7 linked regions of the Xenopus tropicalis genome follow. The protein of the gene in region 7 purifies or fractionates together with the protein of the main gene of each other region. This does not show direct contact. Links are inferred from orthologs where the notes say so. Each region holds a gene or a part of one and is shown on either strand. Other genes may lie near its edges.

The links.
Region 1: the proteins of axin1 (region 7) and ppp2r5a purify together in Homo sapiens (affinity purification with western blotting; 3 studies listed by BioGRID and IntAct, with this or other methods). This does not show direct contact. The link is inferred for Xenopus tropicalis from reciprocal best matches to the Homo sapiens genes AXIN1 and PPP2R5A.
Region 2: the proteins of axin1 (region 7) and hipk2 purify together in Homo sapiens (affinity purification with western blotting; 3 studies listed by BioGRID). This does not show direct contact. The link is inferred for Xenopus tropicalis from reciprocal best matches to the Homo sapiens genes AXIN1 and HIPK2.
Region 3: the proteins of axin1 (region 7) and btrc purify together in Homo sapiens (affinity purification with western blotting; 7 studies listed by BioGRID and IntAct, with this or other methods). This does not show direct contact. The link is inferred for Xenopus tropicalis from reciprocal best matches to the Homo sapiens genes AXIN1 and BTRC.
Region 4: the proteins of axin1 (region 7) and map3k1 purify together in Homo sapiens (affinity purification with western blotting; 5 studies listed by BioGRID and IntAct, with this or other methods). This does not show direct contact. The link is inferred for Xenopus tropicalis from reciprocal best matches to the Homo sapiens genes AXIN1 and MAP3K1.
Region 5: the proteins of axin1 (region 7) and lrp5 purify together in Homo sapiens (affinity purification with western blotting; 3 studies listed by BioGRID). This does not show direct contact. The link is inferred for Xenopus tropicalis from reciprocal best matches to the Homo sapiens genes AXIN1 and LRP5.
Region 6: the proteins of axin1 (region 7) and dvl3 purify together in Homo sapiens (affinity purification with western blotting; 3 studies listed by BioGRID and IntAct, with this or other methods). This does not show direct contact. The link is inferred for Xenopus tropicalis from reciprocal best matches to the Homo sapiens genes AXIN1 and DVL3.

Annotation. Positions count from the first base shown.
Region 1 is NC_030681.2:14,669,960-14,674,258, reverse strand, and holds the start of ppp2r5a (serine/threonine-protein phosphatase 2A 56 kDa regulatory subunit alpha isoform), read left to right. Parts: upstream 1-1,332; 5' UTR 1,333-1,931; coding exon 1,932-2,079; intron 2,080-4,299. UniProt on the Homo sapiens protein: The B regulatory subunit might modulate substrate selectivity and catalytic activity, and might also direct the localization of the catalytic enzyme to a particular subcellular compartment.
Region 2 is NC_030679.2:7,974,495-7,979,072, forward strand, and holds the start of hipk2 (homeodomain-interacting protein kinase 2), read right to left. Parts: upstream 3,086-4,578; 5' UTR 2,603-3,085; intron 1-2,602.
Region 3 is NC_030683.2:30,626,281-30,629,447, reverse strand, and holds the end of btrc (F-box/WD repeat-containing protein 1A), read right to left. Parts: intron 2,949-3,167; coding exon 2,787-2,948; 3' UTR 2,755-2,786; intron 917-2,754; 3' UTR 827-916; downstream 1-826. UniProt on the Homo sapiens protein: Substrate recognition component of a SCF (SKP1-CUL1-F-box protein) E3 ubiquitin-protein ligase complex which mediates the ubiquitination and subsequent proteasomal degradation of target proteins. Recognizes and binds to phosphorylated target proteins.
Region 4 is NC_030677.2:190,927,123-190,930,988, reverse strand, and holds part of map3k1 (mitogen-activated protein kinase kinase kinase 1), read left to right. Parts: intron 1-499; coding exon 500-616; intron 617-1,421; coding exon 1,422-1,570; intron 1,571-2,410; coding exon 2,411-2,532; intron 2,533-3,866. UniProt on the Homo sapiens protein: Component of a protein kinase signal transduction cascade. Activates the ERK and JNK kinase pathways by phosphorylation of MAP2K1 and MAP2K4. May phosphorylate the MAPK8/JNK1 kinase.
Region 5 is NC_030680.2:37,131,508-37,135,373, reverse strand, and holds part of lrp5 (low-density lipoprotein receptor-related protein 5), read left to right. Parts: intron 1-1,161; coding exon 1,162-1,398; intron 1,399-1,987; coding exon 1,988-2,098; intron 2,099-3,866. UniProt on the Homo sapiens protein: Acts as a coreceptor with members of the frizzled family of seven-transmembrane spanning receptors to transduce signal by Wnt proteins.
Region 6 is NC_030681.2:100,195,566-100,199,966, reverse strand, and holds the start of dvl3 (segment polarity protein dishevelled homolog DVL-3), read left to right. Parts: upstream 1-1,301; 5' UTR 1,302-1,502; coding exon 1,503-1,663; intron 1,664-4,401. UniProt on the Homo sapiens protein: Involved in the signal transduction pathway mediated by multiple Wnt genes.
Region 7 is NC_030685.2:15,101,713-15,106,273, reverse strand, and holds the start of axin1 (axin-1), read left to right. Parts: upstream 1-1,486; 5' UTR 1,487-1,777; intron 1,778-4,561. UniProt on the Homo sapiens protein: Component of the beta-catenin destruction complex required for regulating CTNNB1 levels through phosphorylation and ubiquitination, and modulating Wnt-signaling.

The sequences.
Region 1 (4,299 bases), on a different chromosome or scaffold from region 7:
TCTGACTGCAAGGTGGGAGCAGCATAGAGGGCTCAGCAGGACTCCCATTCGTGAGCAATTGTAATATATGAAGAAAAAAAGGCCAACTTCAAGATGGTTTGAGAACCCTACCAGTTACAGTATACCACTGCTCCAAGCTAAATAGACACACACAATATCAATGTCTTTCATTCTTTATTTCAGCGCTACCCCCACCTTAAATGGATACTGTCATGATTTTTATGGTATACTTTTAATTTCTAAATTACACTGTTTACATAGCAAATAATTTACTCTACCATCTAAAATTATCTTCTAGAACCAACAAATGTATTTTTTTGTTGTTGTAATATTGGTGTGTAGGCGCCATCTCAGTGCATTGTGCCTGAGTCTGAGCTTTCAGCCAGCGCTACACATTAGAACTGCTTTCAGCTAACCTATTGTTTCTCCTACTCCCATGTAACTGGAGGAGTCCCAAGCCGGACTTGGATTTCTTACTATTGAGTGCTATTCTGATACCTACTGGGAGATGCTATCTTGCTCCCTTCCCATTGTTCTGCTAATTGGCTGCTGGTGTGTGTGTGTGTGTGTGTGTGTGTGTGTGTGTGTGTGTGTGTGGGGGGGGGGGGGGGGTAGGAGGAAGGGAGGGGGGGTGATATGACTCCAACTTGCAGCGCAGCAGTAAAGTGTGTATCAGAGCACAAGTCACATGGTTGTAACACCCTGGAAATGAAGAATATTGCCCCATGTGAAATTTCAAAATTAAATATAAAAAAATATGTTTGTTTTTTTGAAAACAGATTACAATGCAGGATTCTGCTGGAGAAGCTCTATTAACTGATGCATTTTGAAAAAAAAACACGTTTTCCCACGACAGTATTGCTTTAAACTAATACCAAGCGCTTGGAGTCCATGTTGCACAATAATATGCCAGATGATCATTCCCTAACACAAAGCCAAAGGCCTGACTAATTATATATGGGGACATTCGCGCAACTGTGTGAGAATGCAGCCCCAACCAGAAAACAAACGTGCGATTTTGTAAGCAACAACCTATCCGTCTCAACTCTGAGCAACGTGAGTGAAGCACACACACACACACACAATCACCTCAGAGACTCCCTCACAACAAGCCATATTTTGAAGGGACGCACCCCGTTGGTCCGGCGCCTAACACAGCGTTTATTCTGATTGGTCAGCCCCACTTCCTATCAGCCAATAGAGAATTTGTATACACGCACATTCGCAAGTCTGCCAAACCGGCCTTCTGGTTGTCATTTGCTTCCTTTTCCTGATCGTGTTATGTTCCAAGTGTGCGGCAGCGCTTACTAGAACATAGCACTTAGACACCCAGGCAGTACAGCCCAACTACAGAACTTCAAAAGTATGACGTCCATTATTAGACCTCGCCTCCATTCACTAGGCGCTTGGTTGACCCCTAGCGGTCACTGAGAGGAAAGCATTTTCTAACCGACTCAGCGCTTCGAACACTGAGAACGTTCCGCCTTCGTCACGTGTCTCCTGATTCCTCCGATTGGGCAGCCGAGCTGTCACTCACTAGCAGAAGTCGGTGCTGGCGGCGGTAAGCGACGTTGCCGCCACAGGTCGCCTTGTGAGTTCGGGGGTGGGGGCTTGCGGTTTTTTTGGATTTACTGAGGGACTTTTAGACCGACACGGGAAGCCCGCCTGCCGCCCAGCGACCCCTAGTGCAGCCCAGTCTATGGCGGTCGGAGCGCTGTAAAAAACTTTCTGTCTGCTGTGAAGAGGGGAGATGCCGGGGAGAACAGGGGCGAGGAGCCGCTAGAGGGGACCCTCCTCTCCTGCCGGAGGGCAGCACTAGGGGGAGGAGGGGGCTGTCACCGTGACATTAACCCCACACTTCCCGCCCGAACCCCCCCCCCCTCGTTTCCCTGCTCGGTTGGGCAGGTGGCCCCGCGGGCCTGGCAGTGGCCATGTCGGCGATATCGGCAGCCGAGAAGGTGGATGGATTTACGCGGAAGTCGGTGCGGAAAGCCCAGAGGCGGGGGCGCTCCCAGGGCTCGTCCCAGTTCCGCGGGCAGGGGCCCCCTGTGGAGCTTTCCCCCCTGCCTCCACTCAAAGGTAAGGCGGGACCTCATTGGCCTCTCAACTAGCCCTAAACTCCCAGCAGCCCCCGCCAGGCTGCACAGCGAGTTGGGAACCATAACGTCCCCGGGCAGCCCCATTGTGCCTGATCAGCTCTATACCCATACGCTAGGGGGCGCAGCGCTGGGAAATGCCTGGCAGCCAACAGTAAACAGCCAAGCTGGGCTGGAAATCAGCAGGGAGTGGCACATTTTCACTAATGGGTAATGGAGGGGAGGGGGCAGAGCCGATGTGGTGTGCACAGGTTGGGATATGGGGGGTGCAGGGGCATTAGTAAGGTATAGGGCAGAGCATGACTTGGGGCACAGGTGTGTCAGTGGCCTATGGGGTAGATGGGGACAGAATCTGATTGTGATATGGGGGTGCAGGGGCATTAGTAAGGTATAGGGCAGAGCATGACTTGGGGCACAGGTGTGTCGGTGGCCTATGGGGTAGATGGGGACAGAATCTGATTGTGATATGGGGGTGCAGGGGCATTAGTAAGGTATAGGGCAGAGCATGACTTGGGGCACAGGTGTGTCAGTGGCCTATGGGGTAGATGGGGACAGAATCTGATTGTGATATGGGGGTGCAGGGGCATTAGTAAGGTATAGGGCAGAGCATGACTTGGGGCACAGGTGTGTTAGTGGCGTATGGGGTAGATGGGGACATAACCTGATTGGGGTATGGGGGTGCAGGGGCATTAGTAAAGTATAGGGCAGAGCATGACTTGGGACACAGGTGTGTCAGTGGCCTATGGGGTAGATGGGGACAGAATCTGATTGTGATATGGGGGTGCAGGGGCATTAGTAAGGTATAGGGCAGAGCATGACTTGGGGCACAGGTGTGTCAGTGGCCTATGGGGTAGATGGGGACAGAATCTGATTGTGATATGGGGGTGCAGGGGCATTAGTAAGGTATAGGGCAGAGCATGACTTGGGGCACAGGTGTGTCAGTGGCCTATGGGGTAGATGGGGACATAACCTGATTGGGATATGGGGGGTGCAGGGGCATTAGTAAGGTATAGGGCAGAACATGACTTGGGGGCACAGGTGTGTCAGTGGCCTATGGGGTAGATGGGGACATAACCTGATTGGGATATGGGGGTGCAGGGGCATTAGTAAGGTATAGGGCAGAGCATGACTTGGGGCACAGGTGTGTCAGTGGCCTATGGGGTAGATGGGGACAGAATCTGATTGTGATATGGGGGTGCAGGGGCATTAGTAAGGTATAGGGCAGAGCATGACTTGGGGCACAGGTGTGTTAGTGGCGTATGGGGTAGATGGGGACATAACCTGATTGGGGTATGGGGGTGCAGGGGCATTAGTAAGGTATAGGGCAGAGCATGACTTGGGGCACAGGTGTGTCAGTGGCCTATGGGGTAGATGGGGACAGAATCTGATTGTGATATGGGGGTGCAGGGGCATTAGTAAGGTATAGGGCAGAGCATAACTTGGGGCACAGGTGTGTTAGTGGCGTATGGGGTAGATGGGGACAGAATCTGATTGGGATATGGGGGGTGCAGGGGCATTAGTAAGGTATAGGGCAGAGCATGACTTGGGGCACAGGTGTGTCAGTGGCCTATGGGGTAGATGGGGACATAACCTGATTGGGATATGGGGGGTGCAGGGGCATTAGTAAGGTATAGGGCAGAGCATGACTTGGGGGCACAGGTGTGTCAGTGGCCTATGGGGTAGATGGGGACATAACCTGATTGGGATATGGGGGTGCAGGGGCATTAGTAAGGTATAGGGCAGAGCATGACATGGGGGCACAGGTGTATGAGTGGCGCTGAGCAATAGAAGGGAAGCTGGAATGGTATGGCAGAGATGGGAACAAATGGTATGGGAGCAAATATGTGTTAGAGTATGGCAGAGCAACATATGGGACAGAGAAAGGGATGCTGGGATAGGGGCAAACGATGTGGGAACATTAGTATAGCAATAAAAGGAAATAATTGTTAATGGTGAAATAGGTGCATTAGTAAAGAATGTTGCAGAGCAAGAGATGGTGGAATTGGTACATTAGAGTGTCAATGAGCAACTGGTGGGGTAATAGGGGTGTTAGTAAAGTATGTCAGAGCGAAAGTGGGAATAGGGGCATATATTCATGCAGAGAAAAAGATGGGGAAACTAGGGGCATTAGTACTGTATGTCACATAGCAAGAGTTTGTGGAATTGGTGCATAGAGTATGATATGGAGGTGTACTATAAGGGT
Region 2 (4,578 bases), on a different chromosome or scaffold from region 7:
GCAGATTACAGCAGTAGGGGGCAAATGACAGTAGTATTGGGGATAATAGTATAGTAGTACCTATAGTGAAAGTGGGGGTGATAGAAAAAATAATACTGCATTACCCCCTACAATGGCAGCAGAGAAAACAGCACTTTAGCGCCAACAGTGGCAGGGGCCAAAATAGCACAGCAGCATGTACGGCAGCCCCAAGTTAATGGCATGGCAGCTTCTGTAATACTAGTAGGGGTAACTGCAGCGTTGCCCACGGTTTGGGGTTGCAACACTCAATCCTACAGCTTTCAAAACTGCAGCCCCATCTGTTCCTGAAACCCCGCTGTTCCCAGGGGCGCTGGGAATTGTGCATCAACTCAGGTCCGGAATTTGTTTTATAAAATAATGGGGTTCTGCCTGGGCCCCAAAGCTAGGGGAGCTGATGCTGTTAAGCTTTACAAATGGAACAGTCATTTCATGATATTGATAATAATTCAGATTTGGGCGCTCGTCGGAAATAAATCAGGGCTCCCTGGTTGGGGGGGTGGGTTCCTCCTCACTGCCAGCAGGGGGCACCCAATCAGGAATTCTATGAAGTCAAAATCTTCCTCTAAAACCACCCAGACAGAGCACTGGGCTGTGGGATCCGCTGGTGCAGGCTTTTTTATATAATAATATAATCTTTTGTCTCTGCTTCTCGCTGCAGTCGGACTGACGCAGACCGCAAAGCCGCAGAATTGTGCAGCCACTGCAGCAGAAACCCGTACGGCGTTGAACATGTTAAACGGGGATATGGGGTTTTATTTTTTGCTTAAGCGCTGTAATGTACTAAAGAAGGGTATGTTCTAAAACAGCCCCGACATTGTGCCCAGTGGCCTGTCACACGGGGAGGGATCGCTTTATGGCACTTCCATAAAAAGCAGTTAATAAATAACCCTTCCCTGTTATATAAGAACTTTATCCCGAGTAACAGTCTCTCGAAATAGATCCTGGGCAGTTTCTATGTGAATATGTAACAAGGCAAGGGCAAGCGATTCCTCTGTATTGTGCCTTGCTGGGAGTCAAGGAGTTAATGAGAATTCATTCTACACCCTTGCAGAGCCACAGAGGGAGGCGCTGGGGATAGAGATATATATATATACACACACACACACACACATACATATATATATATATATATATATATTTACCTATATACACACACACTAGTTTTTTCAAGGCCAAACTAAGATAATAAAACAATGGCAGCCCCCCCCCCCCCCATCCTTCCTACAGAACCAAGGAGAAAAAAAACTCAAGTTCAGTTTAGATTTTTAACCCCTCGCCCTATCACACCCATTATTTACAGGCAGCCCCTGTGGGTGTATAAGTAGAGACAGAGGAATATATACAACATATCCCGTATAATAACAATATATATATAATAGAGGTGAGAATTTGGTGTTGAGGTGAGGTAGAGAAGAGGGGGTGCAGGATATTCCATATTGGAAATAGGGGGGCAATGATATAGAGTGGGTTCTAGAAGAGGGGGAGCAGGATATTCCATATGGGCAATAGGGGAGCAAGGATACAGAGTTGGTTCTAGGAGATGAGGGGGTGCAGGATATTCCATATTGGAAATAGGGTGGCAATGACACAGAGTGGGTTCTAGAGGAAGAGGGGGTGCTGGATATTCCAAATGGGCAATGATATAGAGTGGGCTCTAGGAGAAGAGGGGGTGCAGCATATTCCGTCTGGGCAATGATATAGAGTGCGTTCTAGAAGAAGAGGGGGTGCAGGATATTCCATAGGGCAATAGGGGAGCAAGGATACAGAGTGGGTTTTAGAGGAAGAGGGGGTGCTGGATATTTCAAATGGGCAATAGGGGAGCAAGGATACAGAGTGGGTTCTAGGGGAAGAGGGGGTGCAGGATATTCCATATGGGCAATAGGGGGGCAAGGATACAGAGTGGGTTCTAGAAGAGGGGGTGCAGGATATTCCATATGGGCAATAGGGGGGGCAAGGATACAGAGTGGGTTCTAGAAGAGGGGGTGCAGGATATTCCATATGGGCAATAGGGGGGCAAGGATACAGAGGGGGTTCTAGGGGAAGAGGGGGTGCAGGATATTCCATATGGGCAATAGGGGGGCAAGGATACAGAGTGGGTTCTAGAAGAGGGGGTGCAGGATATTCCATATGGGCAATAGGGGGGGCAAGGATACAGAGTGGGTTCTAGGGGAAGAGGGGGTGCAGTATATTCCATATGGGCAATAGGGGGGCAAGGATACAGAGTGGGTTCTAGGGGAAGAGGGGGTGCAGTATATTCCATATGGGCAATAGGGGGGGCAAGGATACAGAGTGGGTTCTAGGGGAAGAGGGGGTGCAGGATATTCCATATGGGCAATAGGGGGGCAAGGATACAGAGTGGGTTCTAGGGGAAGAGGGGGTGCAGGATATTCCATATGGGCAATAGGGGGGCAAGGGTACAGAGGGGGTTCTAGGGGCAGACACAATGCAGGGCAGGGGTAAGTATGGAAGGGTCCATTTGCAGATGGGGGGGCAGGGTGTGGAAATGATAAACACGGGGGGCTCCCAATGTTGGGAAGGGGGGGGGGTTGGAATTAGAAAATCACCCTCAGCTGTTCCTTACCGCAGTCTGGGTCTCTCCACCGCTGCCATACCGGGGGCCTCTCTGGACGCGCTTTGGGGCTCCCCCCACAGAGAATAGGGGGACAAGCTTGTGACCCTGCCGGCTCCCGTCCGCCTCCCGCATTGATCAGTCAGTCAGAGCCGCTGCAGGTCCGGCTGCTCCCCCATCTTACCCGCTGCACCCCAATAAGCACCGGGAACGCCAGTGGCCTGCCCTGGAAGGTGAGCGGGGGGGGGGGGGGGTAAATGCAGATATTGTTTCTAATCAACGCAGCCCCCCTGCTGGCAGCTATTAGAAGCCCCCCCGGGCAGCCTTCCAGCCCCCTGTGTTCCCCTCAGTCCGCACCCCCATGCAGGGAGCCCCCGCACCCAGCCTCCCAGCGAGCTGCACGGAAAGTTGCATTTAGGAAAGAGAAAAAGGCAGAGGGGGGGGGGGGTGCGATCCCTTCTCTGTGTGTCTCTTTCTCCTGCCTTCGCGGAGCAATCGAGCGCCGATCGCATGGATTCCAATGGGGAGGGGGGGGGGGGCGGGGAGAGGCTGTACTTTCTCAAAGTGTCTCCCCCCTCCCCTTCTCCTCTTCTCCTCTGCTGGAGAGGCTGTGTGGGATTTCTGTTTAACCAACACATTTCAATCAGGAGTAAAAGGGGGGGAGGGGGGGATCCTATTAACCCTTCATGGAGTCACAAAGGAGCTTGGTGCAATGGGAGAGGGGGGGGGGGAGGCAGCCTTGCTGTGTTTGTATTGGGGGTGGGTATTGAAAGAGGTCATCTCCCCAGTCATTATCCAGCTCCCTGGGTAGGTTTTATGAAGTGCAAGCTCTTGGGGCTGGGGGGTAGGCCCAAGACTGCATTATTATTATTAACGTTTATTTATAAAGCGCCAACCTATTCCGCAGCGCTGTACAATAAGTGTACTACAGGTGGGCAAAATCGGGCGAATCTAGGCTAATTCGGTTCTAATCGAAACAGAACGACGGGTATAGAAAAAGTCGAATCGGGGACCACATCCGACTAAATTATTTAAGCTGCCGGATCGATATATGTCTGATTTCAGGCCAGATATCGGTCGGGCAGGCCAGTCGTTAGTGCCCCTACACAGGCAGATAAGCTGCCGAGTCGGTCTAAAGGTGGCCATACACGGGCCGACTATAGCTGCCGATATGGGTCCCTTGGACCGATTCGGCAGCTAATCGGCCCGTGTATGGGCAGGGCAGAGCGGCCTGGCCGACCGATATCTGGCCTGAAATTGGCCAGATCTCGATCGGCCAGGTTAGAAAATCCGGTCGGATCGGGGACCGCATCAGCTCGTTGATGCGGTCCCTGATCCGACTGCCCCATTGCCGCCCACATAATCCGATCGTTTGGCCCCAGGGCCAAACGATTGGATTATTTTTTTTTTTACCTAAATGCTCCCCGATATCGCCCACCCGTAGGTGGGGATATCGGGGGAAGATCCGCTCGCTTGGCGACATCGCCAAGCGAGCGGATCTGCTCGTGTATGGCCACCTTTAGGGACCCATATCGGCAGCTACAATCGGCCCGTGTATGGGGACCTTTAAGCTTGGCGATGTTAGCAAGCAAGCGGATCTTCTTCAGATATCCCCACCTACAGGTGGGTGATATCGGGCGAATCCAGGCTAATTCGGTCGTTTGGACCTGGGGGCAAACAATCGAATTAGAGTGCCAGTAATAGGCGAAGTCGGATCGGGGAGCGCATCAATGAGTCGCTGCAGTCCCCGATCCGACTAAATTTTTGAAACTGCACGATTGATATCTGCCCGATTTCAGGCCAGATATCGGTCAGGCAGGCCCGTAGGTAGTGCCCCTACACGGGCCGATTAACTGCCGAATCGGTCTAAGGGACCCATATTGGCAGCCAGGGGCGGGCGTGGCCGACCAGTTGCCCTAGGCAACCCAGGGGGGTGCCATGGGTCATTGCCCCCACCACGTATTTACAAGTGGCGGGGGCAATGACAA
Region 3 (3,167 bases), on a different chromosome or scaffold from region 7:
TGCCAAGCCAAGGGAAGAGGGAGAAAGAAGAGGAGAACCCTCACTAGAAAAATAAGAGGAGACACTTAAATGGAGACACATACCAAGAGGGAAAGTGAGTTTTGCGCTATCCTTACCCTTGTGCCATGTGATAAGAACATCTCTAATCAGTTTATTTTTTTTCTAAGCTTTTAATGGCCCATAAAGAACTATACAGATAACTACAACACTTGATTTGGTACTATATGCAAAAAAAAAAAAAAAAGGAAAAAAAAGAAAAACTGGATATACACGCAAACACTGAAGAATGAAAAAATTAATGGAAAAAAAAAATAATAAATAAAAAATAACCTTTCATGCTTACTATGATAAAAACATACATTTTTATATCACTTGGGGGGGTCTTAGTCATCATCTTAAAAGAAAGTAACCCATTTCCCGCTTTTCACTTCACAAGTACTTGCAAAACGTTCAGCAGATCTCCGAATGGAACCACACCTTAAAGCAGCGTGAGCGTGGGACAAAAATGAAAATTGTTCTTTTGCTGACAGCGAAGCAACAGGAATCCTGGCAAGACATTTAAATAGATTTCAAAGATCTGTGACTGCTACAGTCTCTCAGGTTTCATCTCTAAATTGCAAGTTTTGAGTAATGAGCCGCCGCCACTGGAGTGTGCAACCCACCGCCACGCAATAAGTTGCAGACTCCGGTGACAATGACGGAGATACAAGAATTCTTCTCATGGCAGCAATCATGCAGTCCACTGTGCAGATTGGCCCGGGCTGCTTCCAGCTGCCTGACAGCAATATTCCAGGATGAGTCAGGATAATGGGTCTCTCTCTCTATATTTTTTTTTTTTCAGCAAATACTGGTCAAGTAGAATGTTTATTTCCCGGCGTTCACAGGTGGTTTAGTTACCATACTTCTCAAGCAAGTCCTGTAAGGGAGTAAACGAGAGGCAAGATTAAAGGTTCATCTATGTTTTTTTTTTACAAAGAAAGGACACAAAAAGCTACAACCAGTGTCAGATAAATAGAATGATATACTCCACTTCTTGCTTTTACATCCCAAGGGACCACGAGCCACATCTCAGCCCTACTTTGGAATGTCCATGTGTACATACCATAAGGGAGCCGGTCAGGCTGACACTTAAGAAGCATCTGATGTGCGCTGAACTCAAATGCCTGCAGCTGAATCCTAAATGTACTCTCAAATCCTCTCTATTGTGTTCAACCAACCTGACATCAGTCTCTCCTGACAGTGCATTTTTCCTTGATGTCAAGGCGAACAGAAGAAAGGCAATGTAAAAAGCAGAAGGTATCAGATGTGCACAGTGTGCACGAGATGCCTAGGGTAACATCCATCTGATGGCATGTGTAGGAGGAGATCACTTGCCAGCAGATATCTGGTAGCCTCCTGCTGATATCTGATGGGGTTTAAAATGCGTCAGATCCAAGGACACAGCAGAAATTTTGCACGTGTGAAAGCATTTACAGTGCTATTCCATTTCTTTCTTATCCTCTTTGCTGTATGGCTGTGGTCCTGTTCTGTAACTAAGTTTACAAGGTGGAAGTGGTGACTGTGAGGAGGAAAGGCAGGCCGCAATACAGATATCCATAATACTTTTCGTGCATCTCACTGCCCTTCAGCTGAGTTTTTAAGGAAAAATGACAGCTCCAGAAACCAACCCTTCCTCTCCATTCTGCTGTATGGTGTCTGCACTCAGAGGCACAGCGTGGGCCTGGGTGCAGACACACAGAGTGGATTTTGGAGTAAATATTCATTCTCACGTGTTTTGGAGCAGAAAATGCTCCCCATGTGTGGGTGCAGACACAGAGTTGGACTGGCCCACTAGGATACCAGGAAAACTCCTGGTGGGCCCAGGTGTCAGTGGGCCCTCCTGCTCCTGACCATTTGGCCTGTTTCATGCTTATTACCCATTTCTGAATGGAAAAAAGAGGAGAAATACATGCTAGCATGTAAATAAAAGAGACTTGGAGAATAAAGTGGTTTTAGTGAGGAAAGGAGGAAAATTAGTTTGGAGAGTGGGCCCATGGTCTAAAGTTTTTTGGTGGGCCCCTGGGGTCCCAGTCCGACACTGCAGACACACCATAAAGCAAATCGGATTGGAGAGACTCTAGGCATGTGCTTATATAGAGGCCAGAAAAAAAACCCCACCCCCGTGTGGCAGTAGCCTTACGGGTATATTTATCATGCGGTGTAAAAAGTTAAGTCAAGCATTACCGATGATGTTGCCCAGAGCAACTAATCAGCAATTAGATTTCAACAGTTAGAAAACAAAAGCAAAGCATCTGATTGGCAGCTATGAGCAACATCACTGGTAATGTTTCACTCCACTTTTTACAAAGCATGATAAATATACCCCTCAATGTAAATGTGGTCCTGGGGGAATGGGAATGTAATCAGTACAACAGTAGTGATAATATCCTGGCATGCACATATCATCAAGAGGGATCTGGGCACCAGAGCAGATGGAACCCAGTGGATTACTGCCAAGACAATCAGAGGAGAATCCCTTAAGCACTGGGATACTGTGAGTAATGACACAGTAGACTTGCACATTAATACAAGCTAAAACAAAAACTGGCCTTTAGGAAACACAAGTTAAAGAAAGTATTAGCTAATAATGGCCGACTGTGATCTAAAAACTCATAATCCCACACAAGATTTACTATTTTCCCATATTTTTTGCCTGCAAATGTAAAATGTGTCAGTGACAAATGACTGGTGTACTTAGCACTTCCTCCTACCCACCTGTGCAACTCTGAGGTACTACGTAGTGTCATTTATCTGGAGATGTACGTGTATGTTCTAGAAGGGGAACGCGTTGACTCTGCATGTGCAGCTGGGTCGTTGAGAAAATCCCAGATGAGGATAGTGTCGTCGTGAGAGCTGCTTACTATCTGGAACTCATCAAACTGCAGGCGGAAAACTCTGCCCGAATGCTCCTGGTAAACAAAGCAAAGATAATAGGGATAAACAGATATTACACAAGTTTATGCAAAGACATGTAACACATATACAGCGTTCTGCCTTCACCACACTGCTACTATTACCAGAAGAGGTGCTTTATCCAATTAAAAGGAGCAAATATATATATGGGATTTTTTTTATATTTTTTATATATATCTATATATATCTATATATATCTATATCTATATCTATCT
Region 4 (3,866 bases), on a different chromosome or scaffold from region 7:
CCCCCTAGCATATTTCAGCCCCTGCTGGCTCCCATTGACTGTAATATAGTAGTAGTTTCAGGTAAATTACTTAGTCAATGGGAGCCTGCAGGCTTGGTTTCAGGGTGCTTCTACAAAAAAATTGCTGTATGGGTGCCATAGCCCTTTTAAGGGTACTTATGTACTTTTGCTTTGGAATATTCAAAAGTATACAAATAAAATAGGTCCAAGCCGTAATTATGAAACTGCAAGAGTTTCTTTATTAGCAGTGTAAGCTCACAACATGTTTCGGGCAGAGCTCTTCACACTTGAGAAAGGTCTCTGCTTACACTGCTAATAAAAAAACTCTTACAGTTTCATAATTACTTCTCGTAGCTGTGTGATCTACTTTTGAACTGGTTATGTTTCATGGTGATACACAAACACCTGGAATCTACAGCTAAACTTACTTTAACCATCTGCGTGTTTTGTATTTGTTAACTTTTGCAGTGCCACATAAACATGTATTTCCTTACTGCAGGCCTGTAGCTGTGGCAGGGGAACATTCTGCATCCATCTTCTCTTCGTCATGTTAAGAGTCTTCCAGTTAGAACCATCTGACACCATGTTGTGGAGAAAAGCACTGAAGAATTTTGAGGTAAGCATATATCCGCTTTGTGCAAATATATAGTTATTTATGGGTTTTTTTTGTATTTTGCTGTAAGCTTGGGAATCTACGTAAGGACAATGACACATGGGGAGGTTTGTAGCCATGTAGCTATTGCTGGCTAAAAATCTCCCTAAAAAAGGCCTTGTTATAGATTAACATTACCATTGCCATAAGTAAAACATATTGCTCATGCCAGTCTGGTTTAATCTTGGGAAATTGTCTGTCTTCACAGTTTCCCATGATAAAGCCAGATGGCCTTAAGCAATATGTTTTACTTGGGGCATAGCCAATGTTAGTCTATGGCAAAGCATTTTCAGGGATATTTGTAGTCATCAGTAGCGATTTTTTTTTTTTTTTTTAACGCTGGCTACAAATATCTCCATGTATCATTGCCCTAAAGTTGGCCATACACACACCAATATCACACTAAACCATTATTGGTGCGTGTGTGGTGGGATGGCCAATATCAGTAAAAGCCTTGGTTATAGGTCTTGTTGCCAATCAGACAGGACTGGAAATTTTGATTGGGCGCCTTTAAAAGTAACATTAATGCTGAATCGTCAGATGGGGTAAAGAATTCCTTTGGTTTTACCTGCAGATCTGTCAATTCAACTCTTCATGCTAGTAGAGCGGACAAATGATCGTTCCTATGACCAGTGGTCGTGGGAAATGTCGTAATTTTAGCCTGTAGCATGGCTGCTTAACAGGCACGGAAGCAGCGTATCATTGTAAAGACAATGGCTAACAAACTAAAGCAGTATCTTGTCACTGCTATTTTCTTTTTATTTGGTAGGTTGAGAGTTTGTTCCAGAAATATCACAGTAGACGTAGCTCAAGGATCAAAGCTCCATCTCGTAACACCATCCAGAAGTTTGTGTCACGCATGTCCAGTTCACATACATTGTCATCATCTACCACCTCTACATCTAGTTCAGACACCAGGTTTGTATTGAGGAATCATTATTGCAGTTTGCTGTGTGCGTGCCTGTGGGATTTGCTTTTATTGATGAAATGTTTGATCTTAATTAAACATAACGATTAATATGCCCAGTTCATACTCTTGCAGTTTGTTTATCCTACTGATAGTCCACAGCTTAATACAGAGCAGATAATTCTCTTAAATATAATCCATCACAATAACATATCAAACACATCCCACTCTGTGTAAGATAAGATCAGTTTGAACCTGCAGGAGAAGTCACCAGCCTGCAAGCAAGAGAGGTAACCTGAAGTGCAATCTTCCACTGTGGTAGCACATTTCATTTATTTTGAGTATTTAGTATCCAAAAAGCTGGTTCTGTGGACCAGACTGAACCTTTTGTGCTGTACCCCATCAGGACCTTGTAAATTCAACCCTCTGTATCCATCTAATCTAATAAAATGCAAAGTCTGCTAATAGTGTATCAACCTACGGCAACCAATGAGAAGGTTTACTGGTCAGCTGTTTGAAAGCAGATATCTGGTTGGTATGGGTTTCTAGACTTTGGAAAACTTTTTTTAATTTTATGAAATTACCCAAGTAGTATATTCTTTCTCCATTCACCATTAATACAACACCCAGCATTCATCCTCACTTGATTATATGTTGAAGGATGCTAGAAGCTGTAGTCCAACATCAGCAGAAGGCATGCTACATGAATTGATGGTTTTTGAAATGTAACATCGTACCCAATTTAAGTAAAATGTTTAGGGTGTGTACATTTAAAAGGGATCCTGCATGCAAGAAACCTATTTAGACTTTGTTCTAGTTAAGTGAATGTATTTATTTCTGTATATTTTTAGCATGAAAGATGAGGAGGAGCAGATGTGCCCGATCTGCTTGCTAGGGATGCTGGACGAGGAGAGTCTGACTGTATGTGAAGAAGGCTGCAGAAACAAGTTACACCACCACTGCATGTCAATTTGTACGTCACTTATGCATGTCACCAATTGACTTACCGCCTTTGTCATTTCTTATGGTTTAATGGTGCTGAGCAGTGTGTTTTTGTAGCATTTTACTATGTTTTGTCTCTGTGCCCAGCTCTCACTAGAAATATAACAGATGGATAGTGTGGCCTAGAAAGAGGGCAGGGCGCCTTCACAAACACCACAGACATTCTTTATTGTAACATTCCTATAGCATGGAGTGGAGTGTCCCTTACATCTTCCTTAAAAATTGTCGGGGGCTGATCTGTGAGATAGTGAGCTTTGCCTGCCATTTCAAGATCATTTTCTGTAAGCATCCATGCACAGCTTCCTGTGCCATTTATGTCATTTTGCATGCATGTGTACTACTGGTCTGGAGTGCCTAAGTATCCATGTACCAGTATTAAAGGGTTAGTAACGAGAACGTGTCACTGTGCTTATATTAATGCATCCAGCCCTAATCCTGCCCCTTGCCTCTCAGCCATCACCTGTATTGCCCTTGCACAGGACAATCCTAACTGATGTGGGGCAGGGCAAAGTGCTGATTGGCTAGAGCACATATGTATACAGTGCATCAGCCTAATGGTACATTGCCATGCCCACCAAAGCCCGGCGTCCGTTATGACTTCCATGTTCTTAAAACTGTATCAGTGGTCGACACAAGTGAGTAGTGATGATTTAGAGGGAGACAGAGGCACTTATTACAAGCAGCATTAGTACTGGGCATAGTGATGCATTCTAGTTAAAACTGGAAAACCTTACTATCTCTTTAATATTAAACATGAGGACCATTCAATATAAGATGGTTTCCCAACATGCTGTAATGAGGGCATCCCGTGTCATGTTTTAGGTTGGCGTTTAGCAAAGTAATCTCTGACAAAATCATTTATTTCTTCCTTGCAATGGAGGATCTGTCCCTATTATTTGGTTAGTGTTGCAGCAGTGCCATCTAGTGGGCATTCTTTAACCTCTCCCTGTGTAAGTAAAGTCCATGCACACACACTCTAAGAGGACTCTGTACATACTGATTATATGCACATAAACAATTCTAAACAATCTGGAAAATATATATAATAGCTACTACATTTTTTAATACAGCACTTTGCAGTAGAACCTGAAAATAACTACACCATTTGCTATTAAATATTATACTGGAGTCATTTCCTTACAGACTTGGATGCACATTAATGAACACTATACTTCCTGCTTATTTTCTTTCCATATTTTTGTTGAAATGCTGATAATTCCAAGACTTATTTTCTCATATTTTCATGTAAGACCTATTCCCTGTGTTACACTGCCTCCATGCTATGAATGTGCTGAGCAATGTTAG
Region 5 (3,866 bases), on a different chromosome or scaffold from region 7:
TGTGTTTCTGAAAAATTATTTTCATAAAGTCGAGATAAAATTGCACAAAGTGTGTCAGATAATAAAAGCCTCTTGGATTTCTACTATCCCTAGTTCTGTTTTGCTTGTAAGGAATCCCAAAAGCTGCAGATCTGTGCATGGTCCTTATGTTAGTAAGCTGGCCAGTCCATTGGAGAGATGATATAAACTACGCATTTCGCCAGCTACACTGACTTCCTAAGGGTTAAAATAAAAGTGCAATCTTTGTGCGATATCATGCTGTTGGGCCTATTTTAGGTGTATGCTGTTAAAGGGATACTGTCATTATTTTTATGGTGTACTTTTTATTTCTAAATTATACTGTTTACATAGCAAATAATTCACTCTACCATTTAAAATCTTATTCTTGAACCAACAAATGTATTTTTAGCTGTAATATTGGTGTGTAGGCACCATCTCAGTGCATTGTGCCTGAGTCTGAGCTTTCAGAAGGAGCCAGCGGTACACATTAGAGCTGCTTTCATGTATCCTATTGTTTCTCCCACTCCCATGTAACTGGAGGAGTCCCAAGCTGGACTTGGATTTCTTACTATTGAGTAATCCAATAGGACTGTTTTGCCTCCAATAAGGATTAATTATATCTTAGTTGGGATCAAGTACAAGGTACTGTTTTATTATTACAGGTATGGGACCTGTTATCCAGAATGCTCGGGGACCTGGGGTTTTCTGGATAAGGGATCTTTCCATAATTTGGATCTCCATAACTTAAGTCTGCTAAAAATCATTTAAATATTGAATAAGCCCAACAGGATTGTTTGCCTCCAGTAATGATTAATTAATCTTAGTTGGGATCAAGTACAAGTATACTGGTTTATTATTACAGAGACAAAGAAAAGCATTAAAAAAAATGTATTTTTTTTATAATGGAGTGTATGGGTGATAGTTTCTATAATTCGAAACTTTCTGTTTATCGGGTTTCCAGATAAGGGATCCCATACCTGGACAGGGAAAGAGAAAATGATTTTTAAAAACTTAAAATGGGCTCTATGATAGATGGCCTTCCTGTAGTTTTAAAGCTGTCTGGATAATGGGTTTCTAAATAACAGATCCTATACCTGTATTTGCCTTATATGATAAATTCCAGTTCATATCACTAAAATTAATGTATCACACCGTTTCTAGAGCCGCCCACTTGCTCCCCAGAGCAGTTCACATGTGCAACAGGGGACATTGACTGCATTCCTATGGCCTGGCGTTGTGATGGCTTTTCAGAGTGCGATGACAATAGTGATGAAGAAAACTGCCCCGTTTGTTCAAGCAACCAATTCCAATGTGAGAAGGGACAGTGCATTGATGCCCGTCAGAAATGCAATGGGGAGATTGATTGCCAGGATAAGTCAGATGAATTGGACTGTGACTGTAAGTAGGACTTATAATTTATATTTGTTGTACAGGTGTTGCTGTTGTCTTTTTAAGTTTGTTCTTTTTTGCCCATTTAGCTATAGAGCATACTACTGTATTGATTTTGTTTTGTAGCAGTACTTTACCCTGTTAGTGTACAAGTTATACTTGCCAGACTAGCAACTGGTTCTTGCAGTTGGGTGTCAGTTCCTTATCTCTGTGAGATATTATATTTCTTATAACTGCTAAGAAACAATTCATTGCGTTACTGTGCTCATGTCAGATGAATATTGTGCTATACAGAGCAGCCTGCAGCATTGCATATTGATGCACCTGGGGAAACTGAGTAAAGGCTGCCAACATTGTTTCCAACTAGGTATCCTGGTAGTAAATTTGTTGGCAGCTTTTATAACCTTGAGGTGGACTTCAAAGCAGTTAAACTGATTATTTTGCTGTATTTCATGTCATGGAAAGGAAAACTCACTAAATATTTATGGGAATCTATACTTCACCATTAAATGCATGACCAGTTATTTAGTATAAAGTGCAATTTGTTATCTAGTTATGATTTATTATTGAAAAAAAACTCCTGTTACTATCATTCCAGCTATCTGTCTTCCTGATCAGTTCCGCTGTGCCAATGGTCAGTGTATAATGATGAGTCAGCAGTGCGACACCTTCCCCGACTGCAGCGATAGCTCCGATGAGCTTATTTGTGGTAAGTACCCCCCCCAAGTACGATCAGTTGTAAAAATGTTTCTTTGGATTCATAGGAATTTTGAAAAAATCACAATGCAATATGCACACCAAATAATTTGCATGAAAGCACTCATATTTATAAGTTACTGGGTAAACATACTGCCATGACAGATGAAAGAAGATGCATGAAAAGAATGGCAAAATGGCGTCAAAAAAGGAAAATAAATATATATAATATACAACTATACTGGCACATAATAGCTATCTGTTACAAGGTTATCTCCAAGAATTCGGCTGGCCACTCGTGGGCATGAAATAGTACAAAGTGTATGAAAGCGTATGTATAAGTAATAACAGTATAATATACTGTTAACCTGCACTGGTATAACAGGTGTTTGCTTCAGAAACACTACTATAGACTGTATAATTAAGCTGCTGTGTAGCTTTGTGGGCAGCCATTCATTGGAAAAAGGATCAGGTTACATAGCAGATAACAGATAAGCTATGCAGAACGCCATTATATTCTACAGAGTTGATCTGTTATCTGCTATTTAACATGTGCAATTTAGCCCTATTTCAACTGCCCCCATTGCTACACAGAAGCTTGTTTATCTATGCTATACTATTTTAGTTTTTGACAGTCAGGTGTCATCAACCAGATAAACCATATAAAACTTTTAAATAAACCACCAGTACAGTGTAGGGACATTAGTGTAGAGTTGTACTTATTGTGGGTAGTGTTTTTCAGGTGCTTGTTAAAGTTATTTTTAAAGTTTGCTTATTTTATACATACATATATCTACACTCACCTAAAGGATTATTCTCTGACCTCTAGCATCAACAAGGCATTTTCACCCACAGGACTGCCGCATACTGGATGTTTTTCCCTTTTCACACCATTCTTTGTAAACCCTAGAAATGGTTGTGCGTGAAAATCCCAGTAACTGAGCAGATTGTGAAATACTCAGACCGGCCCGTCTGGCACCAACAACCATGCCACGCTCAAAATTGCTTAAATCACCTTTCTTTCCCATTCTGACATTCAGTTTGGAGTTCAGGAGATTGTCTTGACCAGGACCACACCCCTAAATGCATTGAAGCAACTGCCATGTGATTGGTTGATTAGATAATTGCATTAATGAGAAATTGAACAGGTGTTCCTAATAAACCTTTAGGTGAGTGTGTATATATATATATATATATATATATATATATATATACACACACACACATGCATTAGTGGGGGAAAAGATGTGATAGTGAAAATAATCATCCAGTGTTGCCAAAATAGCAAGCTAATTGCACACCTGTATTGTGAGTCTTTTTAATTACTTCTGGGAAACTCCCTGCATGGCCGTAGTTAGCATTGATTTGCATCCAAAAATGCACTTTGCACACTGCAGTCATAAATGGCCTTTTACAGCAGTGGCCGCATTAAATCTTCACTATTGCGGGCAACTAATCTCCCCGACATGCCATCCAACCAGCAAGAATGTAAATAGTCGGTGGGTTGATATACGCATTGCTTTGGTCGCCCGAAGATGCCTCGCAAGGAAACTTTGGCCGAATTCAGAAAACCGAAGCGATGTGTATGCCATCCCGCCGGCGATTTACATTCTTGCCGGTTGGATGACATGTTGGGGACATGCAGGCCAATCTCCCCTTATGCCACTGCCCTTAGTGATCTTCTTACTTTTTCAGAACATTGCTTTTCACAGGGGGACCTTAGCTGGGTCATTCAGCAGTATATTTCTGCAAAGTGTCTGTATAGGGGCACATATAAGAGG
Region 6 (4,401 bases), on a different chromosome or scaffold from region 7:
AAATAGTCCATAATATCAAAACAGAAAAAAAAACAAAAAATGTCAGTGCACTTTAAGAATATCTTTAATGTTTTATGATTGACATTAATTGAAAATGATATTGCCCTTCAGTTTCTTTTGGGCACTTAAATAACTAGGATAATTCTCAGTCATATTTTTGGATGGCAACTAGGGTTGCCACATTTCCAAGAAAAAAATATTAGGGGGTCCTATATGTTTGCCTTTTCCCCTATTAATAACATTGGCATCAAATATAATTTTTACCAGCCAGATGGCAAGCCTAATGGCAACTCTTGCCCAGAGATTTTGCAGATTTGATAAATACTGTAGTTATGTAGACAGCTAGACTTCTTGTTAACTTGCACATCCAGAAACTCATGATGATACAGATTGTGTCTTAAATTTGTATTTTATAATGTTAATTCACAAGATTACTTGATGTCATTCTGTTTCTTCTATGCTAGGTAAAGGGGTATTCTACTCATGAATACAGAGCTGCTGAACACGCATACAAGACCAGGGAGCAAAGTCCTCAACATTTTGCAAGCTGCACTCACTATTCTCATAAGGTTCCCACCCCACCTCACGACCTATGGGAGATTCTGGAGCTATTCTGCTATTAATATATTAATATTTTTAATATCCTGGTACATGGTTCCTGAGTTTAACTTCTAGGTAGAATCTAGACTAGACTTAATCCTTTCAATAAGTGTTACTGCGAAATAGAGGTTTGTAAACCTTTTGTCTAGATGCAGTCTCCCACATTTACTGGCCACCTTTGTCTACCTTTGCCTCATACATCAGTACCGGAAGTTCAGGCGCATTTGGAAATAATCACATGACAAGGGGCTGGATTATTATTGAGGATGAGTTTGCGTTGCGCATGCGCTGGGCGCAGCTAGTGTAGTCGTCTTGACGCATGCGCGCTGTTTAGGAGACGGACAACCGAGTGACAGAGACAAACCGAGGAAGCAGCGGCGAGAACGTCCCACAAAGATTCACTGAACCATTTAGGCCTAAAGAGTAAGGTGCAAGCGTATTGGAGACAAATCGGCCTGCTGTGGAAACAGCAAGGGACACCGGACGTGAGAAAAGACTGACAGGCCACACACGAAACTGTTTACTCACCCTCATCGCTTTCACAGAGGCACTGGCTGTCTGTCTTCTCTGGCCCTATTATACACACTTTCTTTCTTGTTTGCCGGCTCTATCATCTCTGCTTCTGACGGGCTTTCTCTTTCCCCCCTCCCCCCTAACACTCTCACCTCTTAAAGTGTCTCCCTCCCCCACTAAGTCTCTAGAGACCTTCTGTCCCCAAGTACCATACTTTCTCTTCTTGGCACCGCATAACCTGACACTCCATCTTTCAGGCTAATATAGTCTGGTGCCATCACGGTGCTCTCTATGGCCTCTTTTGTATGACAGATTTTGGGGCTAAGCCCCTCCCCACATCTGTGTATTGTCCCTCCCTCTCATAATACCCCTTTCTCAGCTGGATAATTATGGGGGAGACCAAGGTCATCTACCACCTGGATGAACAGGAGACCCCATATTTAGTGAAGTTGCCAGTCCCTGCAGAGAAAGTGACACTGGGAGATTTTAAGAATGTCCTCAACAAACCAAACTACAAGTTCTTCTTCAAATCTATGGATGATGACTTTGGGTGAGTGATTGGGGAGCAAGGTGGTATAATACATGAAAGCCATTATTAATGTGTAAAATATATGCTTATAACATTTCTCTAGTAATAATGTTTATGTGCATGATTCATTGAAATGTGTACATAATAATAAATAAAGCAAGCATCCCCTGGTATAAAATATAAACATAGAAGTCACAAAGAAGTTTAAACACCTGGTTTAAATCTTCAGGCATGTGGTCTCCTGCCTTTATATGGTTATGGAACGCTTTTGTGACTTCTGATGTCCTATATTTTATAACAGTGTATTGTTCCCTGTATAGCTTTAATAGGTTGCAAATGTGATATGTAGATGTTGGGGTTTTGTTTTTATTGGATATCTATGTCCCATGGTCTGAGGCCAATAGCACGCAGGTTGTTTTGACCATTGCTGTTTTGAGACAGAAAAAGTCTGTAACCACTTGCTGTAGTGGGACATGGTGATTGCAGGCAGTAGTAGGCTGTGGCGAACTTGGTAGGGAATTCCAGCCATGTATAGCCAGCAAACTTTTACCCAGTGAATATTTGATCTGATGGTCTGAATTGTTTTGTTGTGTAGCCAACAGTGCAGTATAGGTAATAAAGTCTTGGCGTTCTTACTAAATTGCCACAGAAAACAGAAATGTATGTATATACAACTTTATAAAGCGCTACAAGGATACACAGTACTGTAAATCTTACAATATACACAGTTACACACGGGGAGGACAAGTGTTATAATAAATACAATAAATATAAATACACAGAGATTAAGTGCCATGTGGTATGAGACACAGTAGGAAGGAGGTCCCTGCCCCGTAGAGCTTACAATATACACTGTATGATCAAATGCTTCAACCCTCTCTGTCACACATTACAGCTCTGCCGGCTGTAAACGTCTGACAAACAAGACATTTCATGTACCATGAACCTAATAGTTTAAACAGAACACTTTTGCATAAGTTACCAGTTTAGGTATTCAATTTCCTCTTTAATATGATTGAATATATTGCTTTTGGCAGTTTGAGGTAAAACAACTTCTTACATCTTCAGATTCTGTTTCTAATACAGAATCTACATTGAAATTGTGTTCTTTGTTTTCTTTTTTCAAAGCACTAAAATTTATGGCTAGTGCCACATGGAGTGTATTCTCATCCTGCTGATAAACGCAGGCCAAGAATCCACCCCTACGCTTGAAAAATCTGATAGTTGTGGCTGCACCCATACATAGCCTTTGCGCTGGCTCATGTGCTGCCATACTAAGCTTGCGTGTGCAGTTTTGCACCTAATTCAAAATTATTATTTTTTTTAAAAATATTACTGCAGGGGGCTCAAACTCAATTTACCTGGGGGCCGCAGGAGGCAAAGTCAGGATGAGGCTGGGCAGCATAAGGGATTTCACAAAAAATTGGCTTTCAAGGGATCATGCAAGGCACGGCGGGAGCTGCTGATTGCGGAAATGACGTTATGCCATCATAACAGTTATTATGGGAAGATGTTCTGTGTGCACAATTAGCTCCTAAGGAGCTAATTGTGCACACAGAACGTCTTCCCATAATAACTGTTATGATGGCATAACGTCATTTCCGCAATCAGCAGCTCCCGCCCGCCGTGCCTTGCATTATCCCTTGAATCGCAATAAAAATCGCAATCCATTCATTGCTTTTGAGAAGGCGTTGGTGCGGGCCACAAAATACTGTACTGAGGGCCGCAAATGGCCCGCGGGCCGCGAGTTTGAGACCCCTGTATTACTGTATTTGCATACATATTAATGTACCACAATTAAAGGAATTCTGTCATGGAAAAATATGTTTTTCAAAACTCATCAGTTAATAGAGCTTCTCCAGCAGAATCCTGCATTGAAATCCATTTTTCAAAAACACAAACAGATTTTTGTTATATTTAATTTTGAAATTTCACATGAGGCTAGCCATATTCTTCATTTCCCAGGGTGCCACAACCATGTGACCACAAGCTGGGCTCTGATAAAGTAATCCGCGCGGGTGATTAGTTGCAGCAACTTATACTCTAACATGTGTTGGGAATGTCACTGTGTCTTTATCCTTAAAGTACATTTAGCCCATTCTTCTAGGCTGGTTGGGTTAGTTGGATGACTATTTTGCCCCTTAATTTTCAAATAGTGCTTTAGGTTTGTTCTAAAACCACTTCACTGTTACGTTTGCTTGTTGGGATCATTTTTCTGCTGAAATATGAACTACAGTTTTTAGTAGGTTTAGTAAGTTTCTTTTTCTCCATAATTTCCCTGTATTTTACACATTTATTCTAACAAGATGCCCACTCCCTGCAAATGAAAAGCAGTCCCACCGTATGGCGCTGCTGCTACTGCAATTCTTCAAGCTGCATTTTTTGTTTTTGTACTTTGAAATAAAATAATTACAGAAGACAGCATTTTAGTATTCGGTACACAATAAACGGGAGGATTTGTCAAAGATCTCAGTATTTGTAACAAGGCCCTGTATATTGTGAGTCCATAGTTGCCAGTTTGTCTGTTGAAACCAAATTTAGAAGTTAAGTTTAAACACATGTGCTGGTGATTATATAACATTTCTCTACCCTAAGAACATAGACCCATGATTATCCATTTCAATGTGATGCATTCCATTGCCCCTTTTGCTAGAGACATTAACAACTAGAACTTTGCAGCAGACCTCATCAGGGTAGCAAAGAAGGCAGCTGGTTCCACTGTCATTTTCTAAGAAACTCCAATATTCCTGTTGCAGAGC
Region 7 (4,561 bases):
CGACCCAAGGAAAGTCTCCCATAGGGCTCAATGGCACTCTGCAGCTCCAACCCGGCCCAAGGAAAGCCTCCCATAGGGCTCAATGGCACTCTGCAGCTCCAACCCGGCCAAGGAAAGTCTCCCATAAGGCTCAATGGCACTCTGCAGCTCCAACCCCGCCCAAGGAAAGTCACCCATAGGGCTCAATGGCACTCTGCAGCTCCAACCTGGCCCAAGGAAAGCCTCCCATAGGGCTCAATGGCACTCTGCAGCTCCAACCCGACCCAAGGAAAGTCTCCCATAGGGCTCAATGGCACTCTGCAGCTCCAACCTGGCCCAAGGAAAGTCTCCCATAGGGCTCAATGGCACTCTGCAGCTCCAACCTGGCCCAAGGACAGTCTCCCATAGGGCTCAATGGCACTCTGCAGCTCCAACCCGGCCCAAGGAAAGCCTCCCATAGGGCTCAATGGCACTCTGCAGCTCCAACCCGGCCCAAGGAAAGTCTCCCATAGGGCTCAATGGCACTCTGCAGCTCCAACCCGGCCCAAGGAAAGTCTCCCATAGGGCTCAATGGCACTCTGCAGCTCCAACCCGGCCCAAGGAAAGTCTCCCATAGGGCTCAATGGCACTCTGCAGCTCCAACCCGGCCCAAGGAAAGTCTCCCATAGGGCTCAATGGCACTCTGCAGCTCCAACCCGGCCCAAGGAAAGTCTCCCATAGGGCTCAATGGCACTCTTTCCTTGGGCCGGGTTGGAGCTGCAGAGTGCCATTGAGTCCTATGGGAGACTTTCCTTGGGCCGGGTTGGAGCTGCAGAGTGCCATTGAGCCCTATGGGAGACTTTCCTTGGGCCGGGTTGGAGCTGCAGAGTGCCATTGAGCCCTATGGGAGACTTTCCTTGGGCCGGGTTGGAGCTGCAGAGTGCCATTAAGCCCTATGGGAGGCTTCCAAAATCATGCACAGAAGGTTTCAAAGTTAGAAAGGTTTTCGCGCCATTTACGATCATTCGGACCGTACCACAATATTTACGTATGACCACGATACAAATTTTTCGCGTTTTTAACGCACATCATAAATTATCGGATTTAATACGAATTTTTTTCTATTGAAGTCCAGAATTCGGACTTCGATAGACGGGCCCCAAAGCGTGATTGTTACTTTAGTTGCCTCAATATTCCCACCAATAGAAGGCTGGGAGACATTACCTACATTAAAAACCACAACTCCCAGCCCCCCCCTGGCAGCCATTGGCTAGCTTTGGAATACTAGGACATACACTACAGGACCACAATTCACCCCATAACCAGAGTAGTTCTTGTGGGAGCTACAGCCCAAAAGCTTCCTCACCAACTCTTACCATCCCTCCTCAGAGAACCCTCCCACACTGGGGCCCTAGGGCCCATGGCTGCCCTACATATACTATTCCCACCTCACAGACACCCCATATTAGAGCCGGGGAGCGCATCCCTGAGGTAAAAAGCGGAGAGCTGCTTGGAGTCACATGACTGCGCGTACCAGCGGGGCGGGAAAAATCGCGAGAAGCTGCGGGGCCGCGCATGTGAGGCGCGGGCACGCCAATGCGCACTCCCGCGGGTGCCGTGCACGGTGTTTCTCTCACACACTCACTCACTGTGTATCGCACTGTCCGGGGCATGGCCGCATCCCGGCGCTCTGCGCTCTCCTGTTTCCCGAGTATCCCTGCGCGGTGGCGGCTCCAGCTGGAAGCTTGATGGGTGGCTGCGGAGCGGAGGGAGAGGGCCCGGAACGGCTGGGCACAAGAGCCGGCTCAGGGCTGCCTGGGTGAGGAGCAAGGCCACACGGCTCTCTGTCTGTCTGTGTGTGTGTGAGAGGAACGGGGGGAGGAAACTTTCCAGGAGAGGCGGACGGATCCAGTTTGTAGGCCAGGCCCCGGCTTTGCCAGTACCGCTGGGCCGCATCTTACTGGGAAGCCCCGTACCCTGGCCCGTCTATAGGCATGCATGGGAACCCTGTGGCCCTGTACGTGGCTGTGGTAATAGAGTCCATCACAGGTTGCTCTGCTGCCCTTATTCCCAACATTGGGGCTCTGAATGCTTTGCTTTTCTGCTAGAGCATGCTGGGAAATGTAGTCCCAGGGATGAACATCACCAGACACTGAATGACTACATCTCTGGGCTCAGAGGGGTTACTGGGAGTTTTAATTCAGCATCATCCACAGGGCTGTATGGGGGATATCTGTCAGCTTTACTGGGGCTTTACTACATCCTTACTATATCTGGGGGGGGGGGACTATTTTGCAGGGATCCCATCATTAATGGGGGGGAGACAACTTATCTACGTGATAAGCTGTTAGTGGGGTGATGGGAGTTGTTTCACTGGCAAATGCACTGTGGCTGCAAACGATGGAGAATCCACAGCAGTGCGGTATTAGGGTGAAGACACACGGAGCTACTAGTAGCAGCTACTTGTCACGGCTACTATTATAGACAATGCTGATCATTTACTGATAATTGTCTCTACGTGTGTTTTAGCAGAGGCAATTCTCTGTATTGTCTATGGCAGGGGATTTTCTAGAGTTTAGTAGCCATGAAAAAGTAGCTGCTACTAGTAGCTCAGTGTGTCTTCACCCTAAGGGTAAAGACACACGGAGCTACTAGTAGCAGCTACTTGTCACGGCTACAAAAATAGACAATGCTGATCATTTACTGATAATTGTCTCTACGTGTGTTTTAACAGAGGCAATTCTCAGTATTGTCAGGGTATTTTCTGGTGTTTTGCAGCCATGACAAGAAGCTGCTACTAAGTAGCTCCATGTGTCTTCACCCTTAGGGTGAAGACACAGAACTACTAGTAGCTGCCACTGCCATAGACAGTGGTTTTGAAGTTATGTGTAAATGTAATTGGTATGGAAAAACGCTGCCTGGATGTTTGTATTCTCTGCACTGCTGGCTCTGACTTCTGCATAGCGGGGTGATGGGAGTTGTTTCACTAGCAAATGCACTGTGGCTACAAACGCTGGAGAATCAGCAGCAGTGCAGTATTAGGGTGAAGACACACGGAGCTACTAGTAGCAGCTACTTGTCATGGCTACAAAAATAAACAATGCTGATCATTTACTGATAATTGTCTCTGCGTGTGTTTTAGCAGAGGCAATTCTTAGTATTGTCAGGGTGTTTTCTGGTGTTTTGCAGCCATGACAAGAAGCTGCTACTAAGTAGCTCCATGTGTCTTCACCCTTAGGTAGCTGCCACTGCCATAGACAATACTGAGAATTGTCTTCTAAAACACACATAGAGACAATTATCAGTAAATTATCAGCATTGTCTATTTTAGTTGCTGCTACTAGTAGCTCTGAGTGTCTTGACCATTAAATCGATCATGGTGGGAATTGTATTCTGTGGGTTGTCCGGCAGTTTCACCATGGGTGGGAATTGTAGTTCAGCAAGGTGTTTATTGACCATTGCTCACTGTGTTCCATCACCTACCTTGGGCTTCTCACCCTTAAGGAAACAGGGGGGCTGCTGTGGCAATACCCGCAGGGCCACAGGTTGCTCATTGCTGCTGTAGGGACTAAGCCAGTTTATGTGTGGGTTGGGGGTATGATTGGCTTTATAGTTTTCGTTACAACTGCAGTTTTATGTAAGAAATGCTAAGGTACCGTGGGAGTGTGGGGTATTGTCAGTTCATGCATTAGCACTTTCCATGGTGCCCAATATATATTGGGGGCAGAAGTTCTCCGCATTCTGTGCATGTCAGAATCTGAATGCCGTAGCCAGACGCCTTGGGGGTGTGGGGGACCCTGTTTCTTGTGTTCCTACCTGCCTACCTGATCCATCGGCACCCAGTGCTTGGTATATTACTGATATATACTGATCATTTGCAAATAATCCTGCAAGGCTGTGTGCCCACTCCTGACTTATTATATCTGCTTTTGGTCTGACCAAAGAAATCTATCCTCATTGTTGGGGGGGAAATGTCTATTTATAAAAAAAAAAAAAGTGAATATATGTGTAATGTGATGTGTGTAAAAAAGAAAATATATATGTATAGTATATATCAAATTGGAATTAGAACTCTCAGGACCAGCAACTTCTTTGTTATATAATATTTGTATTTTTGACACATTATACAGAAGTCTTATAGTTATCAAGGAGAGATAGATATTTAAAATATATTTTCGTTGTAACTGACATGTAACTGTAAGCAGTATATACATTCATAAATGTCATTGGTTTTGAAGTTATGTGTAAATGTAATTGGTATGGAAAAACGCTGCCTGGGTGTTTGTATTCTCTGCACTGCTGGCTCTGACTTCTGAATCAGTATAGCAGAAACTATCGAGAGCAGAACTAACTTGTTTCAGGAGTCGGAACCAGAGAAAAGGAATGCAGACACATGTAGCTGGCTAGAAAGAGGATTTTTACACTGTGTGTGTGGCGAGTTAGTCTATTATAGCCCCCACTGGAAACAGTAAAAGGGATTGCCGGGCAGAAGGTGATGTCGCCTAGTGGTGCTGAGGAGTAGAACGTGAGCAGTTGCATGTCTTGGGATGGGTAATATAGTATTTTAGTGTCCCTGGTTATTGCTTTATGCTGTTTATCTCTG